Notamacropus eugenii: one gene and its partners. The protein of the gene in region 2 purifies or fractionates together with the protein of the main gene of each other region. This does not show direct contact. Links are inferred from orthologs where the notes say so. Each region holds a gene or a part of one and is shown on either strand. Other genes may lie near its edges.

Region 1 (8,317 bases), about 260 Mb from region 2:
AAATAACCAGTGAAGCACCTCCTTCCTGAATTCTACAGTGCTAGTGCTCTACCTAGCAACTGACCTTCTTATCAAAAGCCAAATAAGGGAGAAAAACTTAATAAAGTTTATCTTTATCCTCCTCTTTAAAATAATTTGAGATAAGTGGGTTTACGTTCTCTTCAATTTATTCAGAATTTAGCAGTTTTAATTTTCAGATTATTGCAAATTGCTTTTTTTTTTAATATTCCATACTCTGCTCTACCAGCAAAATCTTTAAAAGCTTCCAGTTACTACTTCCCTTTTGCCCTCATGCCAAGGGAATTAAGTTCAATATGCTCATTTTCCTCACATGTACAGAATAAAATGTTCCCCTTTTAAAATATGCTATTCATAAACACAAAGAGTTACAGAAATCTCACTCCTCCCAACTCCGATCCTCATGTAACAAGTCCTGGATGACTTGAAATGGTTTTATTTTAATCAGGTTTGCAGTCACAGGATTTTGCAGGGCAGTGGCTTTAGATTCTACTATCTTGAGCCAAGAGGTCTCCTTGGCCTTCTTGGTCCCAGAAAAGTAAGCCCTTTGCCAAGTAACAGTAATATGCACAATTACTCAATCCAAATGGGTCCTAACGATGCAGTCTTCTGACCACATTTGCTTAAAATGTGGTTAAAGTTTGCAATAATAGTAATAAACAATGCCGACTGTTGATAAAAGTTTTGACAGCTCACTGGTTTTTAACTAATGTTCTGCATGTATATGCGGAAGGATTCATTTTGGTCCATGAGATTCAGGAGCAGATTTATGTAAGAAATCATAAATGAAAGTACCGATTACAAAGTAGCTGGTTCCCCAGTGCGATGGACTCCAGGCTGTTGAGATTTTTGCACACTTACTGTGTGATTAAAAACTTAGAGCTTGGCATTTCACTGGAACACTCACTCCTTCCTGGTTCACAGCATTTTCACCCATTCTAGTATTTTCAAGAAAAACATTTATTTTAATTCAGGATCCTGTCAACTTTGTGTTTGTATTCCACATGCCTATAGGTATTTACAGTAGCGTCCTAAGAGTACCAATGTTCAAGTAGTTCTTCAAGGCATCAGAGTGGATGCAGACAGCCTTGCCTTAGCTAGAAGCAGCCTGCCTATGCAGTTCTCTGTAGTTAGGATGCCTGGCTACAAGTAGACTTCAGTGGAAGTTAAGGGGTTAGGGTTAGGCTGAAATCACCTGGCAAAGAGAAGGGGAAAATTCATTTTCTGCCTTTTCCATGAGCTTTCAGCGGATTACTCCTATCAGTCCCAGAGGTGGCAATATAATATAATTGATACCTGGGCTCCCAGTGCCCTCATCCATCAGTGCGACCCTGAGGGGGTCCTGCCTGAAGGACCTGTTCAGGTCACTTTCCCTCCAGCCCAGCCCAGCCCTTACCTTGACCACATCGTCATTGAGATGCTTGGGGTCTCGGTTGACCAGGTCGATCTCCTTGGTGTGCGCATCGTACATTTGCTTCTCGTTCATTTCGTCGGTCATGGTCTTATTGTTGGGTTTGTAGATGTTTCCCTGCTCCCGGATGGGCGCCGAATAGAGAAGCCCCTAGGGAGGAGGGGTGGGGGTGGTGGTGATGGTAGGGACGGGGAGGGGGGGGGGGGGGGTTGGAAATAAAAAAAAAAAGCAGAACAAGCGGACAAAAGTCAACCGGAGGTTGGGAAAGCTCTCAAGCTTAAGGAAGAGAGAAGGGTGATTCTTATTCTTTGGAAAGGCGGCGGCTGCAGCTGCGGCAAGTACTGCGACTTGCTCAGAGCAAAGTCAACTTCACGGGGAGACTGGCTTTTTAAAAGGATAGAAAAGACGACACCACACCCCTCGGTACCAGGCGGAGAAGCCCGACTCCCGCTCCTGCCGCCAGGGGTCATCTGCAAACGCAGCCCAAACGTCCGGCTCCCAAATCTCTCCTACTGCCCCCCCCTTTTACTCCCTCGCCTTCCCTGTATTCAGCGCCCCGTGTTTGGCCCAGAGAGCTCCGGCAGCCTTGGGCTCAACCCTGGTCCTGGCCCCACTTTAGGGCGCCTCACCTTACCGGGATTTCCTTACCTGCTTCGGTCGCCTCCCCCCAGTCTCTGACACCTGTAGCTTCCTCCCCTAACCCTGGATTTCTCCGATAGAGCGATGGGTCACTCACTGCTCATCGTCCCAAACCCCAGCCCCCATTAAACCGTGCACCTGCGGCCCCTCCTCTAGCATCCCACCTTAGCGCTCTCTGGACTGCTCTCAGGTAGCCCTAAAGCTTAGAGATATCTATTGCGGCCCACCCCCTCTCACCCCATTCACCCCAAGAGGTTACTCCCACCCTCACCTCCTAGAATTCACAGAATCTCAAGATCGAGCCCACCTCCCCACATCTCACCCGTCTCCCCTAAATTCCAATCGCATCTCCCCCGATTTAGCAGCAGCGTACCCCCTCCCCCTTCCGCTAACTCTGATAGGCGCCGCGGCCACTGACTTGGGGGAAAAAATTGTTCTGCATAAATGTGGGTCTGGGTTCTGGGGGGAGGATGAGCTGGGAGAAATCTCCCCTTTGCAAACTCCATTCCTAAGGAGTTTTTAGAGAGGGATCAAGGACTTGGGGGAGAGCAAACAGAGCGCGCGCCAACGCCCCAGTTAAGCTTTTCCAGACGCCAGGGTCTGGGTTCGGGTAGTGCTTGCCCAGAACTGCTGGATGAGGAAGCTACAGCCCCCGCAGCCCCTCCCGTCCCCCCGCGTTCCCAGACACTCCAGCCTCCCGCCCCAGCGCTATCAGCCGGGCAGCTGGTAAAAGGCGGGGGGGTGTAAGAGAGAAAACAAATAACGAAAAACCTCCAAGGAGGTGGATCTCTGTTCTGGCAGACGTAAAGTCGGGGAGCCCCCAAGGTTATCCCGTCCACCTCTTCCACCCCCCCCCCCTCCAGCAATTTGCTCGGTGATTTCCCTAAGAAAGCCAACCACAAACGGAGCAGATAGCCAGTTTGGGCGCTGCCCTCCCCCCAGCCCCGATTCCTCCCCGAAACTCCCCGGACCGACGCCCGCTCCTTAGCAGTGACTGTCGGAGGTCAAGAGGGAGAGCGGTAAAGAAAGGCAGTGGGAGCGCTCCCAGCAGCGGTTGGAGATGGCCGCGGCCGGCGGGCGCTCCCAGGGAGGGACATACGGCCGCAGGGCACCTCGTGCCCGGGGTGGGGGTGGGGGTTTGGGGCTTTGAGAAACTCCCCGAAGACGAAGCAAATCCTACCTCGGAGTCTATGTATTTGCCACTAGACATTCTGCCTTGGGTTTGACGGAGGGAGGTTCTGGTGGAGATTTCCCTGGGTTATAATTTAAGGGAGCTGAGGAAGGAAGATCCTGTATTATGGGAAGGGAAAAAAAAAGGAAAGAAAAAACATCTCGGTGGGGGTTGGGGGTGGGGTAGGTTAGGGAGGGGAGGTAGCTGCGAGTGAGAGAGCTGGCGGCGGGCCAGGGGTTTGTTCGGCTTGCTTTTGGCCAGGATGACAGCGGTGCTGGGTCTAGGCACATCCCCAATGACTCCGGGAGCAGCCGGGAGGGCCCGAGGAGGGAGGGGGGAGTAGGAGCGAGCGAGCTTTTTATCCATGTTTTACCGAGGCATTTATTTTAAACCTGGGGCAACATTTTCCCAGCCGTGTAGCCACCAAGGCGATCCAAGAGAGCCTGCTTGAAAAACAAGAATATTTTCCTGGTGCATCACACCAGCAGGAGGGTGTGAAGTGGAACAAGTTTAGTGAGGGATTCCCAAGAGGGAAGGGCACCTCCGGCAGAGGCAGAAGGCTTTAAGCGTGTCCTTGACCACTTCTGAGGGGCGAAATGCAAGGTCCTACCCCCACCCCACCCCTTTATCTCTCCTCCCCCAGGAAAAAGCGTTGTTCAGCAGCTTGGAAGGGGAAAGGTGATGAAAAAGGGGTGGAAAATTTTAGTTACATCTCCTAAACTGAAGCAAAAAGTCGGGGTGTTAGAGTGTGTATGCTTTCGGTGACCCTCGTTTACATATGTTTAGCCTCGTCTGGAAACTTGGTACCTTTGTACCACTTTGTAGAGCGAACCTATATATGTCCCCCCTGGCTCATTTCAAAGTGATGCAAATGTTGAACTGTTCTTTACTTTTATTGCTGATTTTCTCTAAATGAAGGGGAAAACACGCCACAGGTTATGCTATGTTTGTACGATATATTACAGTATTAGTCGTAACTAAAATAATATTAAAATAAAACCTGCGACTTTATTGCTGGGCTAGAGTTTGGATGGAGGGATGGTTACGATTTAGGATAGGGACTGGACTCGTGATTTTACTAGTTTAGGGAATTTTCTGTTGAGAAAAGCAGCCCCACACCTTTTTATGGTCTAAGACAGAGACCTAGGGCATTTAGAGGGTAAATGGCTTGCCCAGGAGTCATACAACCAGGAAGAGTCAGAGACTGTTCACTACTTATCAAATAAAATACATTTCCCTTCTATCATCTATCTATGTATCTATCTATGTATCTATCTATGTATCTATCTATCTATCTATCTATCTATCTATCTATCTGTCATCTATCTAATCTATCATCTCCCTAATTTATTAAGAGAAGGATACTTTACTGTTTTATAAGAAATGAAATAATGATGTCATCCAAATTGGGCTATTTTTTTCTTAAGACCTTTAGGACCCTTAAGCAATAAATAGAACTCAGCTGCAAAAACTAGAAAGAAATGCGTGCTTACATATTTAAACCCAGTTTAGCGAAAGTAAGAGTGATATATTTAACTGAAAGAAAAAATTCCATTGGATACTACCTAGAGAAAGGTACATGCAATTCAGTTCAGTGCAATATTATAAAATGACTACATGTCCTAAGTGCATAGAATGCTGAATTTGAAGTCAAAAGACCTGAATTCAAATCATGCTGCTAATACTGTGTGACTCGGGGCAAGTTATTTAACCTTTTATTGACTAAGACAACTTTTCCAGTTTTTAGATGGGTTGTCCTGGTGATTGAACTTCACTGATGAAACCACGTCATTGAGAGTGTGTGCTCAGCATCCAAGTTAGGTGCTATGGGAAGTTATAAAAGAAATAGCACTTATAGAATATAGAATATATAATCCATATACTGCCCTCTGGTAGATTATCATCTATTTGGAAAGAAGAGGATACTACTATACATGTAATAATCAGGGAATAATACAAGATGATATGGAATGCAAATAGCAAACCCCATGATAAAGTAATGTAAGAGAAGGGAACTGGACAAAGGGAATTCCTTCCATCACTAATCCCCAACACCCAGCACAGAGTGAATGTAATTACTAAATAGTAATTGTTTCTCTTTTACCCAGGAACCCTGAAGGTCTTCCCCTCCCAGTTTGATTTTTTTTTTTTATTAAAGGGGCCATCCCTTGAGTAACTACTTAAAGAAGCCTATTCATTGAATGGGTGTATCTCACTCAAAGTGAGAATGTGATAAGATCTTAGCCTGAAAGGACCAGGGTCTCACTTTGCTTGCTTGGCGTCCTCCAGTCATCCTGATGAATATCAGGCCACTGGACCCAGATGGTTCAGGAGAAGAAAGTGAAGTTGGTGACCTTGTACAGCCCTCCCTCATTCAAATCAAAGTCAACTGCAAGTCATGTCCTCATCTTGATGTCATGGTCCTCTTTGAGAACTAAGGACAAACACAACAACAACAAAAACAACTACATCAGGAAAATAAGAGGTCAGAGGGGTCTAGGATATTAGGAAAGGTTTCATGGAGAATGTTATTAGGAGGAGGTGTTACTTGAGTGAGGCTGCATAATCTCTTAAATGATTCTGATTTCTCTAAATCCTAGGCTTTATTAATTTTACCCTTGTACCTTGTATCTTTTCCTGCATGGCCAAATTGTCTATTTCTCACAAACGTGTATAAGCTGCTGTAAAAGAATCATATCTAGTTCATGTAAATGTGTCACATAATATTTAGCATAAACAACATAAATGTGTAATGTTATCTATTTATTATAGTATTTCCTAAATTAATATCAGTACTAATAGCAGAACTAATAGTTCCTTCGAACACATTTTTTTGTAAAATAATGTTCAATGGAAAAAATGTTGAAACCATTTTCCATCTATTGTTCCCCAAACTTCAGCTGTGATGAGTAATCTTGGTTATAAAAAGTCAACAGGAACATGAAATGAGCCTGTTCCTGCATTCCAACAGAGGAACTCTGCTTTCTGGGAGGGCCTCTTAGTGAATGTTTAAGTAATACAAAATTGAAGAATAATAATCTGACTGGGGAAGCCCATGCAAAACAGTCATAAATAGCCAAGCCATGAAATCATGATAATGATCAGTGAAGCACTGTCAATGCCAAGTGAATTACAAATGAGCAGAAAAAAAATATTGAACTCTGATTAGCATGCCCCAACAAGAAGAAGTTGAAGGTGTGTATAAATTGCAGAAGACAAACCCTACTTTCCTTATAATCAAAAACTTTGCTAAATAATTCCACCCTTTTAAGGGAAAAGAGGCTGTGATAAAGAATGCTTATGACTGGAGAGCATGACCGTGTTTGATGAATTATTAAAGTTACAGAGCTGGAATGATTCTTCTTTCTTGAAAACCCACAAGGATAACTTTAGGTATCTTTTGATTACTGAATAATGAATAGATGGCAGCTGATTTGTAAAGGAGATCCAACTTTGTTTTCAATAAGCAGTAGCACCATAGATCATAGATCACAGGATTTTAGAGTTGAAAGGTACTTCCCACATCATCTATTCCTACCCACTCATATAGATGAGGAAACTGAGGCCCTGAGGTTAATATTTCATTCTCTGTGAATGCAAATGGGCACTTTCTTTTCAATTTATGATCTTAGAGAATTGTCTGAAGCTCCAAGAGGGACACAAGGTCACAATCAATGTCAGGGACAGAATTTGAACTGAGATTTTTCTGACTTTGAGGTCACTGTGCCATGTTGCCACTATTACAATTTTTTAAAAATGTACATCAATAAATGACTATAAAAGAGGTGAACAATTTTGAGTACATATGCTAAATGTAGTTATGGAGATTATTTTTAAGTAATGGAGCCTGCCTGATTTAGGTGAAGTTGTTTGGTAGTTCTAATCTTTGGTATCCCACCAAGCCTTTTATCCACCCAAACTTTCTCTTCCATATCTTACCCTACATATTCAGCATTACTTTCTTGTCCTAAGTTGGGATCAAGTAAAATTTGCCAAAATGTTATCCGAAAATGAAACTGTTAGTTGAGAGCTTAAAGCATGACTACTCCCAGAAATATTTGCATTTTAAAGGAGATAATAAATTGGGGGAGGGTTTCAGGGAAGTCTGACTTGGGCCTACTATACTACTTCACTGATCAAAAGTCAGAGGCTCAGAAAGTATTTCCCTGAGGAATCCCCTATTTACAGGGCTACTTAGCACCATGGAGGCTTCTTTATCACAGGATTGGCTCCCATTGTCTACATCCTCAGTTCACAAAGGAGAAGTGCCAACCCCTATCTTCCTCTCCCCGGCTTGCTTCACACATTCTCAGCCAATTCTCTAAGGGAGTAGATACAAAATTGGAAATAAAAGCTTTGGCACACCAGCTCTGAAAGTTTGTTGGATTACAAAATAATAATGCATTTACATAATGATTTAAGGTCTTCAAAACACTTTCTTCACAACAGTAGACACTGACAGTAGCATTAACCTCATTTGAAAGCTGAAGAACCTGTGGCTCTGAGGAGTGAGATGATTTAGGAAAGGGAAATTGGCATAGGGGGACGGAGTATTGGCTTTGTCATTAGAAAAACTTGGGTTCAAATCCTCTGATACAAGATTTATGAGCATGATGGAGTCATTTAAACTCCGTGAGCCTCGGATGTATATCCAGTAAAATAAGGGGGTAGGAATAGATAGCCTCTTAAAGATCTTCTGGCCCTAAGCCTATGATGATGTCCAGGATTGTATGAGTTACCCACAGTTCAATACCTAGTGAATGAACATTTGAAATGGCATCCAGACCCCAGGTACTGAGTACAGGTTTAGCCTTCCCCTCACTCTGCTGTGCTGACTCTTTGAAGACAGGTAAAATCCATTTCTGGGATAAATTCCAGGACTACATCAGAATTAAACTATCCTCTGAACTTCTTAAAGGGAAGACCACTCAAAATAGCTGTGTAGGAAATGGAACAGGCCCAAACAAATAGGCTTGATGAGGGGAGGTGTTCATAATAATCAAGATCCAGAATTCTCAAAGTGAATAGACTAGTTGGAGTTGTCAGACTGGCTCCTCATGTCTCTTTTATCTTCAAGA
Region 2 (7,743 bases):
CATATTTCTTTTTTTGGGGGGGGACATGTCAGTCAGAACGTGGCTAAGGCAGAAAATTGTTTTGTACGTCTATACATATTTGTAATGAATTCTATTTGTTCTTGTTTCCTAAACGACTAAGGAAGAGGAGGAGTGAGGGAGAGAATTTGGAACTTAAAATAAAATAAAACTGAATTTTTGAAAAAGAACAAAAGTTCATTGCAAGTAGATTGTTTCACTCTTGCTAACTCTATCACCCAGTAGAGAGACTGCTTAATACCTGGTTCATTTTGTTTCAGAAACTATCTTGTTGCTGTTCAGTTGTTCTTCAGTTGTGTCTGATTCATCCTGACTCCATTAGAAATGTTCATGGAAGAGATATTGGAGTAGCTTGTCATTTCTTTCTCCAGCTCATTTTGCAGATGAAGAATCTGAAACAGGGTTAAGCAACTTGCCCAGAGTCATATAGCTAGTAAGTTGTCTGAGGCCAGATTTGAACTCAGGAAGATGAATCTTCCTGACTGTAGACCCAGCACTCTATCCACTGTGCAGTATAGCTGCCCTGATTTTTTTTTCCAAATTCTTTTAATTAGAATGGTAGCTTTATTGGATAAAAAGAGAATGATGAAAAAACAAACACAAAAAATCAATGAGCCCAGTTAGCTTCCATGCCTTTTGCAGTTGTGTGGATTCTACCTCTACAATATCTCTTACATACATCCCTTTCTTTCTATTCACAGCCACGGTCCAGGTTTGGGCTCTCATTACTTGTCTTATACTACTACTGCAATGACTTCCTAACCAGTATTCCTTCTTCTAGCCTTTCCTCTCTCCAATGCATTCACCATAGCATTTGTGGACAAATTAACATTCCCAAAACATAAGTCTGTCTGTATCATTCCCCTGCTCAAAAAAATCTTCAACAGCTCCTGATTTTTGTTTCTAGAATAAAATAAGAACTTCTCAGCATTTAAATTCCTTCACAATCTGGCTCTCATCTACCTTTTCAGCCTTATTCTATACTATTCTCTTTCATATCCTTAATTTCCTACCAAACCAGGCTACTAGCTATTGCCCAAATTTACATTTCATCTTGCTTAAGGGTCTTCTCTCATTAAGCAAGCAAGCAATATTTATTAAGTACCTACTATGTGCCAGTACATAAGGGGATGTATGTACTGGGGATGAAAAAAGAGGCAAAAGTCAGTTTCTGTCCTCACAATTTAATTAAGAAGACAATATGCAAACTTATACAAACAAGCTTCATAAAGGACCAACAGGAAATAATTAAAAAAGAGAAGGCATTAAAATTAAGAGAGGTTGGGAAAGGCTTTCTGTAAACGATGAGATTTTAACTGGGACTTAAAGGAAGCCAGAGAAATCAGTAGGCAGAAGTGGAGGAGGCATGGAAGACAGCCAAAGAAAATGCCTGGAGCTGGAGGTGTCTTGTTTGTGGAAGAGTCAGAAGGCCAGTGTCACTGTATTGACAAGTACATGTTGGGGAATAAGGTATATGAAACTAGGTTATAAAGGACTTTGAATGCCAAACAGAGCATTTTATACTTGGTCATGGAGGCAATAAGGGAGCCATCGGATTTTGTTGAGTGGAGGAAGGGAGTAACATAATCGGACCTGTGCTTTAGGAGAATCATTTTGGTGGTTGAATAGAGGAGGATGGATTGCAGTAAGAAGAGACTTAAGGAAGGTAAACTCACTAGCAGGCTATTCCAGTAGACCACACATGAGATAATGAGACCTGAACTAAAGTGGGGGCAGTATCAGAGGAAAGAAGAATATATATACAAGAGATGTTGCAAAGGTGAAATCAACAGGTCTTGGCAACAGATTAAAAATGGCATGGGGGGAGTTGTATAAAAGATAGTGAGGAATTAAGGATGACACCTAGGTTGCCCTAGGTTTTGAACCTGAGGAACTGGGAGAATAGTGTTGTCCTCTTGAGTAATAGGGAAGGTAGCAGCAGGTGAGGTTTTAGGGAGAAAGATAGTAAGTTCTGTTTTGGATATGTGTTTAAGATATCTACTGGACATCAAGTTTAAGATGTCTGAGAGATATCTGGAGATGTGAGACTGGTAGTCAGCAGACACTGGGGCAGGATGGGTAGATTTGCAAATCATCAGCATAGATTTGGTAATTATTCCATGACAGTTAATTGACATCACCAAGTGAAAAAGTATAGAGGGAGAAAAGAAGAGGGCCCAGGACAGAACCCTGAGGGATACCTACAGTTTGAAGGCTTGATCTGGATGAGAAGCCAGCAAATAAGACAAAGGAGTGATCTGACAGGTAGGAGGAGAACCAAGAGAGAGAAAACCTACGTAAAACAGAGTATATACTCAAGGAGTAAAGGGTGATTAATAGTGTCAAAGGCTGCAGAGAGGTCAAGGAGAATGAGGTTGAGAAGAGGACTTTGGATTTAGCAATTAAGAGATCACTGACAATTTTGTAGTGAGCAGTTTCAGAGGAATAATGAGGCCAGAAGCTAGATTATAAGGTGTTAAGAAGGGAGTGAGAAGACAGAAAGTGGACACACCTATTATAGATGGACTTTATGAGGAATTTGGCTACAAAGGGCAGAAGAGATATAGGATGAAAGTTAGCAGAGATGGAAGGATCAACTGGATCCTTTTCAGGCCAGGAGAGACACAGGAATATTTGTAGACAGTAGGGAATGAGCCAGTAGACAGAGGCTGAAAATAAGTGATGGGGCAGGGATGATAGAGGGGAAATCTATTGGAAGAGACAGAATGGAATGGGATCACTTGAACAAGTAGAGGGGTTAGCCTTGGTAAGGACTAAAGCCTTAAATGTGGGACAGAAATGAAGGAGGAGAGAGAGGAAGAAGGTACCCAATGGAAAAGAGATGAGGGAGAGGGGAAAAGAGGGAGCTCATGTTTAAGGGCCTCAATTTTTTCTGTAAAATATAAAGAAAGTTTCAAAGCTGAGAGAGTGGGGGCAGAGGGGGCCATGGAGGTTTGACAAGAGATGGAAAGGTTTGGAAGAGTAACAGTGGGGAGTGAGATAGTGAATTGATAAGGAAGGTAAAGTAAGAGTGCCTAGCAGCAGTGATCAGGAAGGTGTAAAGGGGATATCTCACTCAGCGGAGGACCATTTGAGATTAAGTCACACAAATCTGCAGTACACCCAGTCAGCACAGTTGTGATTTTCTCCAGCTTTGTTTGCCAACACTTGAGTAAGTACAAGTAGCAGACAATAGAACTGATCCCAAGCTGGGTCTTGGCCATGTAGGAAACAGTGATAAGATAAAGGGGCAAAGGAATGGTTTAAATCTGGGGTGGGGAACCTCAAGTTCAGCCCTTTGACTGAATCCAAACTTCACAGAACACATCCCCTTAATAAAATAAATCAAATCAAATAAATTAAATTTGTTCTCTACAACTGGGACTCAGTCAAAAGGTCTCCCCCAAGGATCTAGGGGTGGTCCCCACCCCTGGAAGGGATTAGAAGTCACAGTGAAGCCAAGGAACAGGTTTAGATAAGCCAGAGGGAAATAAAGAATAACTTAGAAGATCATTATCGGATAACCACGCAGGCGGAGCACTCGAGGGTATCCCCACCTCCGTGCCCAGCTGAGGTGGCACGGAGGGGCTGGGAAGTTCCAGTGTTTGAGGAGTACCTCTAGGCACGTTAAAGTCCGATCCCAGCAGGGGATCCATCCCATTGGGAGGAAGTGGGGGGAGGGGGGCGCCGCCGGCAGGTAAGCTCCCACAAGTTTGACTGGGCAGCCACGAGTTTGGAGGCGGGAGATAATTCCAATCCAACTCCCCCCCAGGGCGGGATGGCCGGGGTGCCAGCACGGCGCCTCTTCCCAGTCCGTTACCAGTGACCCTGTACCCGGCATGGTGCCCGTCTCTCAGCCTCCCCGCTCGCCGGCCCCGGCAGTCCCGGGAAGCGCGCTGCCTTCCACGTTCCTCGGCCTGTTACCTACCCATTGTACCCGCTTGTCCCCCAGTCACGGAGCCCGCTTCTAGGACCGAGCCCTGGGGCCCGCCCGGCTCAACCTGCTTTTACAGATGAGGAAACTGAGGCCGGGGGGGTTTGTTAAGTAACTTTCTGGCAGTCGGGGTGGAATCAGGCCGCTCACCCCAAAGCTACAGCCCCTAACTCTCTGTCAGAAATACCTGCTCCCGCGCCTAAAGGAGGGTACGGCAGTAATCCAACCTCAGCTCGCTCGGCCTCCGCCCTCTCATTCCCAAAACTCTGACCCGCGGGAAAAGGGGGAAACGAGAAAAGGCAAAACAAAAAAACAAGCAGGGAAGACCCGAGGTCTACGGGAATCAGGGGCGCGGGCGCAAGCGGTCCTTTTTTCCCTCCAGTCCCGCGGTCCTGCCGGGGAACAAGTTCTGACTAGGTCAGTAGCACAAACATGGCGGCCCGTCTTCTCCCTTTCCCCACCCCCAACCTCCTCCCGTCAGCCGCGCGCCCCCGCCCGCGCCGGGACGAGGCCGCGCGCGAATCTCCAGTCGCGCGGGAGGCGAGCGTTTCCGAGCATTTCCGAAACGGGACCTGGAATTGGAGGCGGGGCTCGGGCCGGAAAGAGCGGAAGCGAGAGGGAGAAGGAAAGTAGAGAGGGGCTGGCCCCGCCCAGATGGGGAGGGCGAAGGGAGCGGCCGCGGCGGCGGCCGCGACGGCGGGGAAGGAGCAGGGGGAGGGGAGGCCGGATGTGAGTGGAGCGGCCATTTCCTGTTTCTCTGCAGTTTTCCTCCAGCTTTGGGTGGTGGCTGCTGCCTGAGATCGCCTTCTAGTCGGCTAAGGGGCGAGGCGGCGTGGACTGCGGTCCCCGTCCCCCCTCTCTCCACGTACCGCCGCTCCCGGGGCCTTCCCCCGCCTTGTCAGGAGCCCATCCCGCCCGGAGCCCGGCGGTCCTCCCCTTCTGCTCCCGGGCAGCCCCGGCAGCCGCCGCCTCCACCTCCGCCGCCGCCGCCTCCGCGGCAGCCCCGCGAGCCGCCCCGATGCAGGCCATCAAGTGTGTGGTGGTAGGAGACGGGTAAGTCCCCTTCCCCCCACCCCCGCCCGCAGCCTTCCCCTCGTCCTCCCGCGCGGCTTCCTGCTCTCGGGGGGCGCGGGCTCGACCTCCGCCGGGGGGTGGGGGGGTACCCTGGGGGGCGTGCGGGGGCGGGGTCCGCCGGGTGTCCGGGGTGGGGCGGAACGGCGGGCGCCCCGCTTCGCGAGCCCGAGGTCGGGGTGTCCGGCCGCCCGCGGAGGGGCTTCCTGTAGGGTGGCGGCTGGATCGCTTGGGCCGGGCCAGCGTTGGAGATACCCCGGGGTGGGGCGGCTGTGGACCGTCCCGGGGTCGGACTCCCGGTGGGGCCTGGGCCCTTGGGGTTAGGCTCGGCCTCTAAGGATCCCGTCCTCAAGTTGGGGGGGTTCTCTTGAGCCCCTCCTCCTCCCCCGCCCGGACACTGTTCTCACTGCCTTCCCCGAGGGCTGGGTGGGAGAGGCCGCCAGCCTCTCCCACTTCTTGTGCCTGGGATGGTGTTAGTTTGTGCTCCGGGGTCCTGCCCTCTTTTTTTTTTTTTTTTTTTGGAAGCGAGGGATTGATTTACCCAACCCAAAGGGAAAAAGTGGGCTCCACCCTTTTGCTCAATTCAAAAACCCAGTTTGGATTTAGGCAGAACTTAAAGTTCATGAGATGAACCTCTGAATCAGAATGCCTGCCTTCCGCCCTCCCTTGTAGGTTAGGTAGAAAATTATTTTTCTTTTAAAGTGTGTTTCTGGTGATTTATAATAACTCCATTTCCTAAATCGAAGTAGCTTATTGAGAGCTAGGTGAGTACTTTAAAAATATAACTGTCGTTAAGGTTGATAATGTTTTAGGGTTAGCAGACTGCAGTGAAGGTGATTGATCTATTAGGTGGTCTAAAATTTTATATACAGGGTTTTTGTAGTCTCAGTTCCTGTACTTAAGTAGTTTTTGCTTCAAGGAAGCCTTGGTTTTTGCTGTTCTTTCGGTAAACTCTTAATGTACTTGTGGTAAAGAAGATGAGAGTGAATTTATTTTGAACACAGTAAGATGTCCAGAAAACTGATTTTAGCCCAATGGGATGCAGTAGAACAAGCTTCCTGAGGAAAAAATTGATCCCTGTGACTCAAGGCATATCATTTCATTACAGTTTGTAGTGTTGCTGGGTTTATGGGAAGACAAGACTTGCCTTATGCGATTTATTTTCCCCCTCAACTCCCCCCCCCCAAGAAACAAATATTCCAGTGTAATCTGAACAAAATTGTGTATCACAGTATTGCTTGTGCAATTTAGAGTTGGTCAGGACTCCTGAAAAATGCTATTAGCCTCATGAAATTTCTGCAACAAATGAATACATTTTCCAGTGTTGTGTTTGAATGTTTTTGTTGCTTAATAATACTCTCCAATAATTAATTACTGCTAGCTTAGTGAGTTTTTTTGAGATCTATATTTGGGTTTTGACTTTGTGCCTCTGTTAGTGATGGTTTTATTAATACCTAGCTTTCTATTTGAAATTTAGATTCTTGAACTGGCTTAAGATGTCTGATTGAAATACAAAAATCGAAAGGCTCGTGAATTTTTATGATAATAAAATTTTAAAGCAATATTCTGAAGGAGTTCCTAGTCAAATATTAAAATGGTAGAACTAGGAACTTGTACATTGGTAAGATAAGTTTAACCTTTTGAAGGAAAACAATTAGTTCTGGAAAACATGTTGAGTAAGTGGGTGTGGAAAATAAAATAAATTTATCTTAATCATGAGGTTGGGGTCCTCCTGTGATTAACTAGTTAAGAAATTTGAATTAATCTTGCAAAGTTTTTTTAGCCTATTCAGTTTCATTTTTCTTTACTGTTGAGAACAAGTTTCTTGTGACAAATTAATACATGGCATTTTTTTTTATTTAACCAACTACCCCTGGTCAGTTCCACATTTAGTCATAATGAGTAACTTGACTTCAAAAGATTTGTGATGTGCTCCTTCTATCAAAATAGAATACAATTCCTTCATTCTTTAAAAGTCGTCCTAAGTTTGCTGAGACCACAAAAATCTAGTGATCAATCAGCTTTCTGGTAATGAGCCTCCAACCTCTATGAAATTAATTAGAAAAACTCTTGTACAACTCGAAGTTCCTCGATAGGCCTGTTACTTGAAACTTCGCTTGCCAGAGCTTGCCTTCCCTGGCGTAGCCCTTGAAAACCCAGCATTACTTCCATGCCAAGATTAGGTATCAGAGCAGCATTTTACTAGAGGAGGAAATAATTTAAGATACTCTAAAAATTAAAACTAGAGGTTTTAGATCAGTTTAGTTTATTTAAATCTAACAGTAATACTTTTATTGATTTTGTTTATGAAATAAAATATGGAATGCCAGTTACATGAGCTATATTGCTAGACATAGGAGATATAAAAGTAAAAATGTAAAAGACCAGTCACTACTGCCCTGGATAGATTGGAAGACCTGAGTTCACTTCCTGTCTTAGACCCAGGGCAGGTCACTCAACTTACCCCACCCCTTAGCTTCAGTTTATCTGTTTGTAATATGGACAATAATACTACCTACTTCACAGTATTGTTGCTAAGGATCACATTAAATAATATATGCAAAGTACTGTATAGATGTTAGGAATTTGTATTCCCCTCAAAGAACTTACTCTATAGTTTATTATTTTTTTGTAATCTTGATTGATTAGGGCTAGGTGGCATAGAAATAAAACAGGAATGCTTTTTAGAAATGTCATCTTGATAATTTCCCCATTCAGAT
Region 3 (8,328 bases), on a different chromosome or scaffold from region 2:
GCCCAAGGCCTTATGGTACCATGCCAAGGCTTGAGACAAATCACCCAAGGCATGGTAGGCCAAGGCTACATTGAAGCACTGGTCACCATGGCAAGCGCCCTTGGTCTTTTCCTCTGGCTTAGCCCAGAGAAATATCTGGAGACCACGTGCAGGGTCTCCAGTCTCCACATAGGCTGCTCCAAGATTGAAGGCGCAGGCACGGAGGACCCTGGTGCCCCTGTCTCCCTGGGCCTCCAAGGCCAAAAGAAAGGCTCGATGAAAACTAGCTAGGGCTTCATCATTTCGGCCATCCCTCAGAGCCCCATGCCCAGCTTGGGTGAGGGTCTGGATACTGGCTTCCAGATGCTTCTTCTTTTTCTTCTTCTTCTTGGCTGGCCATGCTTCAGTCCCTGGTCCCAGGGAGTTGTCCTCAGAGGCAGGAGAAGGCATAGAACTGACAAGATAGCAAAAGGAGTTGGTTAAACAACCACAATTACTTTCAAAGAAGGATCCCTTAAGCTCAGTTCTGTCCCTGGCCAGTTATGACCCTCCCATGATCTAAAATGTCCTCCCCAACTGCAGTTGCAACTTGTCTCTAATTGTTTATCTGGTAGGGAGAGCCCAGAGAGTAGTGGTATAAAGGGTGGAAAGTATAGTGGTCTTGAAGTCAGAAGTCAGGTTCAAATTCCAGCTTCAAAACTAATTAGCTGGGAATTTACTTAACCTTTTAAAGTCTTATATTTCTTCCCCAACCTGTAAAATGGCTTGCTTTGAGTAGAGGTCTTTGTCAACTTCCAAACATCATAGAAGTTTGAACTTTTGTTATTATTAGATGACAGAATCTAAAGCTAGATGAAACTTTAGGCAACTAGGTGGCTCAGTGGATAGAGCATTGGGTCTGCATGAGTCAGGAAGAACTCAGTTCAAATCCAGCTTTAGATACTTACTACCTGTGTAACCCTGAGCAAGTCACTGTAGCACTGTTTGCCTCAGTTTCCTCAACTGTAATGGGGATGATAATAGTACCTACCTCCTACTTTCCAGGGTTGTTGTGAAGATTAGATGAGATATTTGTAAAGTGCTTAACATAGTTCTTGGCACATCTTATGTGCTATGTAATTGCCTATTCTCTTCTTTTCCTCTTGTCTCCAGTTATCTAGGCTAGTCTCCTTGATGGACCCTCTCCTCCATAATTAACCTTAGTTTCTTAATCTCTAGTCATTCCTCCAGGCTGTGTTTTCAGAGGACCATAACATCAGGAGAATGATGACATGACTTGCAGTTGACTTTGATTTGAATGAGGGAGGACTGAGCTCCCCGAATGGGAACCCAGCTAGTTGGGTAACTCAGATCATCATCTTCCCCTCCCTCTCTACCTCTCCCTCCTCTCTCTCTCTCTCTCTCTCTCTCTCTCTCTCTCTCTCTCTCTCTCTCTCTCTCTTTTCAAAGACCAAACCTTAAACCCATTTCACTCAGGAACTCACAGATTAGACCACAATAGCTCCCTGCCCAAGCTTTGGGCCCCCTTGGCTCAGAGTAAACAGCAATGTAACTGTTCCTCTTTTGATCAGCAATCCAGAGGATCTTCCCCTCACAGTTCTTTCTTTCTTTCTTTCTTTTTTTTTAATTAAAGGGGTCATCCCTTGATTCACTTCTTACAGAGGCCTATTCATTGAATGGGCATCACCTCACTCAAAGTAAGAACCTGAAAAGACCTTACCCTATAAAGGGCCAGGGTCTCCCACTGCATCCTGGGCCATCTCAAGTCTTCCTGATGAATAAATATCTGGCCACTGGACACAGATGGCTCTGGAGGAGAAAGTGAGGTTGGTGATTTTGCACAGTGCTCCCACACTCAAATCAAAGTCAGCTGCAAGTCATGTCATCATTTCCCTGATGTCATGATCCTCTTCAAAAACAGAAGGACCAATATAACATTCCTCCCTACCTTCCCCACCCCACTACTCCCCATACTGTCTAAAGGCTAATCATTATCTTTCCTGCTGTAGTATCAGCCAAAACATGGAGACCAACGATGCTGAAGCCCCCTTTTTCCTGAAGAAGAATCTCCCTTCAGATCCCCAAATGCTACTTTTCCTTCCCCTTTCTCTTTGTTTTTTTCAATACAATCTCTGTCCTTTAGGTCTCTCCTGGTCTGTAACAGCCAAGAAATAGTAGATCTGGAAGGAACCTTAAAGATGATCTCATTCAATCCCCTAAATTTATAGATGAGAAAAATGAGACACAGAAAAGTGAAAGAAATTTCCCAAGATTAGCTAGGTACAAAGAGCTAAACTTGCCTTACCATCCTGGCCCCCCAGGACTTTATCCAATAATCTTAGAACCACAAGGTACTTCAAGGTAAGGGTCACATTAACCATGCCTCTGTCTCTATAAAGGATTCCCCTCATTACACATTACTGGGATCTAAACCCAGGTGCTCTGATTCTTTCCATTCTATTCAGCTTCTGTTCACACTACTTTCAGCTTACCTTACACCCTGGAACCCAATTATTGTTCAGTCATTTTTCGTGTCTGACTCTTCGTGACCCCTTTAGGCATTTTCTTGGCAAAGATACTGCAGTGGTTTGCCATTTCCTTCTCCAGTTCATTTTACAGATGAAGAAACTGAGGCAACAAGGTTTAAGAGACTTGCCCAGGGTCACACAGCTAGTAAGTGTCTGAGGCCAGATCTGAACTCACAAAGATGAGTTTTCTTGACTCCAGGCCCCCACTGTGCCACCTAGCTGCCAAGTATACCCAAGAACCCAAGTAAAGAATACATCATAATCATATATTTCCTTAGCACCTCTCTCTGAGGATCTCAAAACCACTTATTTCACCTTACCTAGATTCAAAAGATGAAAAATGAGGCAAAGAGAATTCAGTTACACAATTGTGACTCCCAGTTCCTTTCCATTTCTCCTTCCTATGAGAAAGATCTGAAGAGGGAACCAGGGTATTCTATTCACACACACACACACACACACACACACAATTTCTTGCCTCTGTGATGGGTGGGCTTAGGAACATGGTCATCCAGCCTCCTGCCTCAAATGACCGAACTGTGCCCATCCCTAGGTCATCCTGTAGCCCCTTCACACAGCAGGTATTTCCCTACCTCTGGCTGCATTTGCCTTGGTGCTGCCGCCTCTGTAAGATGGCTTTGAAGACTTAGGTTACCTCTGCTCGAAGCCTGGGGCGGGGGTTGGGGGGAGGAGGGTGGGGTTGGTCACTGTGACAACCTACTAACACCCTCCCCTCCTAAGAGATTCCTTGATTGACAGTTTAGGTATCCTATCTGAGTTCTGATCCTTTGAGGTGGAGCTTTTTGCAAAGTCATGGGATACCTGAATTCTCATTAAAATTGTAGTTCCTCCCTTCTTACCTCTCCAGCCCTACTTTGATTCTATTGTCTTTTCTCCTGGCCTCGGTTTCTTTCTCGTGGAAATAGCAGTTTAGAGTTTCCAGGTGGGGCCTTTTGGTCGAAAGTGGTTAGTGAGCTATAAAGGAGCCCTATGTCAATGGGTATTCATAGTCACAGCTGAATATTGCAGGGACTTGTGACTTTGCGGGTGTGGGTAATCCCTCCAACTAAAGCCCACCAATCCAATTCTTCCTTGACTTAGGAGATGGTCTTATAGAATTTCTGTGGCTAAAAAAATTACTTAAATAATTTTATGAATGCCCTTTTGCTTTTTCCCAATTTCTCCCACCCCCAAAGGAAAACTTCTCTTGTCAAGGAAAGCTAGGAATCCTTGACAAAGAGGAACTAGTGAATTCCACACCCATTATTATTATGCTCTTGGAAAAGACCAGACAAACTAACTGCCCTGAGGCAATACTCACAATACTCCATCTTCCTAGTACAGAAATTTCCTTCCCTGGCCTCTACTCCCCGAAGCTGATAGTAGAATGTAAACTACACAGCGCCTGGCACTTAGGGATAAAGATAGGCTCCGAATCTGGGCTTTCACAAACATAGGAAACTCCTACAAAGAAGGTCCTATACTTTGTCATTTATAGCTCTTAGTAAGTTGCCTTACCTGAAAAGTCCCAGTCAGAGCTGGAAATATATGTCAGTGATGAGACTTGAACTCAGGTCTTTCTGGCCGGAGGAGGGCTCTCCGACTTTTTATTATGCTGCTTCTCGGAGGTATTTATGATCGATTGATGGTCCCCTAAATTTCCAATGAAAAGAGGATGGTGCATTCCTTCACCATCGAAGTCAAGACTGAGCATTCTAACGACCTCACTTAATTATCTTTTTTGGTTTAAATTATTGTAGCTATTGTGTATATGGTCTTCCTGGTTCTCCTGGCTTTCCTCTGTGTCCCTTCATACTGATCACTGGAATGGACCTTTGTAGTTATCTAGTCCAAACTCTTCACTTAACAGTTGAGGAAACTGAGGCCTGAAGAGTGACTTGCCCAAGGTAGAGCCCATCTGGTGACCCCCCCTTCTCTGAAATCAGCTGGCTCCTCAGGCAGCAGACACTTGGAGATGGGGGCAGGAGGCCTGTGATGAAGAGGGGGCCTGGGGTGATGCAGAAGGGAAGCAGGGAGCTGGGGGGCACTGCGTGAGGGCTGGGGTTACCTTAAGGGGAGAAGGGCTGGGGAGGCAAAAGCAAGGAGGTGCAGGGACTAGGAGTCTATAGTGAGGAGGGGGCTGGAGACAATGGGAGGAAGGGAATGGCAAGAGGTACAAAGAGGAGGGGAAGGAAAGTGGCCAGCAAGACAACCGCGGTCCCCCGGGGCTGGAGTTTGAAGGTGTCTCTTCTCCTTGTGGGAGAGGCCGACGTGACTGGGAACTACAAATCCCAGCAGGCCCCGCGGCGCGGGCCGGAAGTATCCTGCCGAACTGTTGCAACTGGAAGGGGCGGTGGCGGCGGGAGATTCAAACCTGGGAACGGGAGCAGGAGCAGGAGCTGGAGCTGGAGCAGGAGGGCGAGGAGCATGGAGGCGAGCAGAGCAAGGCCCGGCGGGGCGGCCTGTGAGTGACGGACCGAGGGTTAGGGTCGAGAAGGGACGGGGCTGGCTGGGGTCTAGAGCCGTGTGGGGTTGGCAACCCTGGAAAGTCAACGAGCATTTATTAAACGCCTACTGTATGCCAGGCCCTGCGCTAAGGGCCCTCGTGCTATGCTAGAGCGCCCCGGAGACCGGGGTTCGAGCCCTATCTATGGGGTAGATACAGTGACTTGGAGTCCCCGACTCCGCCGTTTACCGGCTGGGTGGCTTTGGACCGGTCACTAACCCACCTGGAAAACAGGGCTGGAGGAAAACAGCAGGGCTTAGTCTGAGGGGACGTGGGAGCCTCCCGCTGGGCCGGGCTGCTGAGAACTAGGGCATCCTTTCGGGCGGAGGGGGGTCAGAGGTCCTCAAATCTAGTCCATCAATTAAAATTAGACAACAGCTTACGTAGTGACTGGGGGAATGATAACATTTAGTGCCTTAAAGTTTATAAAATGTGCTCTGTACAAGCATTTTACAGATATGGAAACTGAGGTTTGAACAGGAGTCGCAGGTTGTGCCAGACCTGAGACAGGACTGAACCCAGGTTTCTGGACTCTTAAGGTGGAGATCTTTATAGTTCCCTGTCTCCTGAGGATTCTGGGGTTTCGGTCTGGCCTCCTGGGTGGAAAGAAAACCCCTCCCCTTGCTCCCCTCTCTTTCCTCCAACAAATGTGTTTATTTTGGGGGGGCTCCAAAAAGTAAAGTCCATGAATCTGTAGAAGGAAGCTTGTGAGGGTGGCTTTAGACTTTAGGAAGTCTGGAAGAAAGAGTGCCATTTGTGCACACACACCCACACAGAGTCCTGCCCAGTTTTCAATTCATACCTCTGGAGTGAAGTCATTTACCAGCTTACTTTCCAGGCTTAACTGCCAACCTTTTTCTTTTTTGTTCCTCCCTTGGAGTAACTGATGGGTTTCTTGCCATTGGACTGTCATTTGGAATATGGTCCTGAGAGTATATTTTTAAAAACCTCATTTGACTGCCAATTCAAATTAAATTCCTCGAAGAGAAATTTGACAGTCAGCTAAAAATAATTAACCATAGAAATTAAGTGCTGGGTCAAAAATAAATCAACTGAACTCTGTTATCTACTTTTAGTTCACTCTTGAGCTCGTTATTCTTTGGAATCTTTTGGGTGGGAGCTTGTGGGTGGGGCAGGGTCTTAATTGTGTCTCCTAGAGTAGATCTTCAGAATAGTGGGATGAGGACTAGGGGAGTGGTGGGTTGGGATCCAAAGGGGCCTTGAGAAATATGGTTTTTGTCAGTGAAGATTTGGTGAATGATTTTCTATTTTGATTATTGGGGGATTTTTTTTTTGAAGATTGCTTGGATCTTGAATTTGTAAAATCAGACAGTCTTAGAGTTCAAATATAATACACTCCCTGTGCCAAATAAAATGCACTCCTACTTCATCTCTATCAAAATCTTTCTCTGTATTCAGCTTGGGTGCTCACCTCCTGCATGAAGCCTTCCCTGAACTCAGTTGTCTCCTTGATTTTTCTCCACAGTTTTTTCAAGGGGTATTCCTAAATGACAGATCTGAGCCTGTTCCTCCCCTCCTCAATCAACTCCAGGGTCTCCCTATTCCCTCTAAGATCAAATACAAACTTCTGTGTTTGGCATTTGAAGCGACACATATTCACAACCTGGCTACATACATCATTCCCCTTCACACACTCCAGTCCAGCTAAACTGGTCAAGCATGTTCCTCCACCTTCTTTCTTTGTGCCTTTTTACAGGTTGTCCCCAATGGATCTAATGCTCCCCTTCCTCACCTCTGACCCTTAGCATCCCTTGTTTCTTTCAAAATCTCAGCCAGGTGCCACTCCCTACATGAAGCCTTTCCGGATTCTTCCAGCAAAGTTACCTTGTATTTATTTGTATATAATTTCGTGTATATATGTGAATAAGTTGTCTGCCTCCTCTAGGATAGAAACTCCTTGAGGGCAAAAACTTTCATTTTTTTGGCTTTCTATCCCTAGCACAATGCCTGGCACATAAAAGATGCCTAATAAATGTGGATTTTTTAAAAAAAATTCTCTAGCTCTAGTGCCAGGTCATTGTGTCCTGAAGATATAACACATTTGATTAATGGTTGTTTAATTGAATTGAGATGTAATCTTAGAGGGCATTTAATCTAAGTCTAGCAGATATATACCCAATGGGTAGTCATCTAGCTTTAGCAAAAGCAAATATCATTTATCTCCTTGATCTGACATTTGAAGAAAGAGCCAGTTCTTGGGGAACTCTTAGTTAAGGGGAGCTAAGGATTCAAGTGACCAGAGCTCCAGCCATCCCTCCTGGAGGGTGGAGGAGGGATGGGAAGAGAGTGACAGGTAAGGAGGTAGGCAGGAAGAGAGTGATGGGTTGGAAGGAAACGTCTGAGAAGGTTTCCTAAAGGAGGAAACTGGAAAAAGTAGAAAATGAAACAAAAATAATTGGAAAAGTGAGAGAAGGACAAAGAGAAATGGCCTCTGAAGTCTAAGGGGGTAAAGAATATTGGGCCTGGACAAAGTAGTTTTTTCCCATCTGAACAGGGAATATAAACTAATCTGAGAGGACTCTAGTCTAGGGAATTGGAACTGGGTGGGTGAGTGTCAAGCAGGAACTTTTTGAGGTTTTCAGGCAGGGGAGGGATTACATCTGAGGAAGATGGTGAAGGATAGGAATCAGGCATCCTAGTGCTCTTTTGATCTGCCGCTGACTGTGTCATACCTTCCCCCTTCCAGATGAACGCCTCACTGCAGAGGAGATGGATGAACAGAGGCGGCAGAATGTTGCCTATCAATATCTCTGCCGCCTGGAGGAGGCCAAACGGTAAGTAGAGGTAGGCAGGAGGAGGCCAAGAGATAAAGGGAAGTGGGTAGAGGGAGACTAAGGAATGAGCGGAGGTGGGCAGGGTGATGTTAAGTGGGAATGGGGAAACCAAATTGTGAGTGGGCAGTGGGCAAGGGATGGCCATGGGGTCAGTGGAATTTTCAAGGTGTCATCACAAATATGCCTATCCTTCATCCTACTCCCTCTAGCCCAATCCCAGCTAAATTATTTGGGTTGATATCACAGCAACACCTGTTTCTTTCTCCCAGGAGATAAAAAGGGAGAAAAAAACATAGGCTAGAGACATAGTGATGTTGGGGTGATACACAGTGGTCATGGTTTTTGCTCAGTTCTCGGGCCATTTCAGAGAATTCCCTGGCATCCCTCAGTGAATAGGACAGGACTGAAGATGAGACTTAGGGGACCTGAAGGCTGCCTTCTTGCCTCTAAACTCTTCCATGTGAAAGGAAATTAATCCTACTCTGGTTGGCCCCAAATGGCAGAATTAAGAGTAATTCTT

What was found. Proteins that work in one complex are often made in the same cells at the same time.
Region 1: the proteins of RAC1 (region 2) and CAV1 purify together in Homo sapiens (affinity purification with western blotting; 4 studies listed by BioGRID and IntAct, with this or other methods). This does not show direct contact. The link is inferred for Notamacropus eugenii from reciprocal best matches to the Homo sapiens genes RAC1 and CAV1.
Region 3: the proteins of RAC1 (region 2) and IQGAP3 purify together in Homo sapiens (affinity purification with mass spectrometry; 3 studies listed by BioGRID and IntAct, with this or other methods). This does not show direct contact. The link is inferred for Notamacropus eugenii from reciprocal best matches to the Homo sapiens genes RAC1 and IQGAP3.

The regions. Positions count from the first base shown.
Region 1 is NC_092874.1:136,584,223-136,592,539, forward strand, and holds the start of CAV1 (caveolin-1), read right to left. Parts: upstream 3,548-8,317; 5' UTR 3,279-3,547; coding exon 3,249-3,278; intron 2,595-3,248; exon of another isoform or gene 2,511-2,594; coding exon of another isoform or gene 2,487-2,510; intron 1,580-2,486; coding exon 1,415-1,579; intron 1-1,414. UniProt on the Homo sapiens protein: May act as a scaffolding protein within caveolar membranes. Forms a stable heterooligomeric complex with CAV2 that targets to lipid rafts and drives caveolae formation. Mediates the recruitment of CAVIN proteins (CAVIN1/2/3/4) to the caveolae.
Region 2 is NC_092874.1:396,153,973-396,161,715, forward strand, and holds the start of RAC1 (ras-related C3 botulinum toxin substrate 1), read left to right. Parts: upstream 1-4,662; 5' UTR 4,663-4,970; coding exon 4,971-5,005; intron 5,006-7,743. UniProt on the Homo sapiens protein: Plasma membrane-associated small GTPase which cycles between active GTP-bound and inactive GDP-bound states.
Region 3 is NC_092873.1:380,719,825-380,728,152, reverse strand, and holds the start of IQGAP3 (ras GTPase-activating-like protein IQGAP3), read left to right. Parts: upstream 1-4,781; 5' UTR 4,782-4,934; coding exon 4,935-4,971; intron 4,972-7,720; coding exon 7,721-7,808; intron 7,809-8,328. Other genes in the region: TTC24 (tetratricopeptide repeat protein 24), read right to left, coding at 1-429.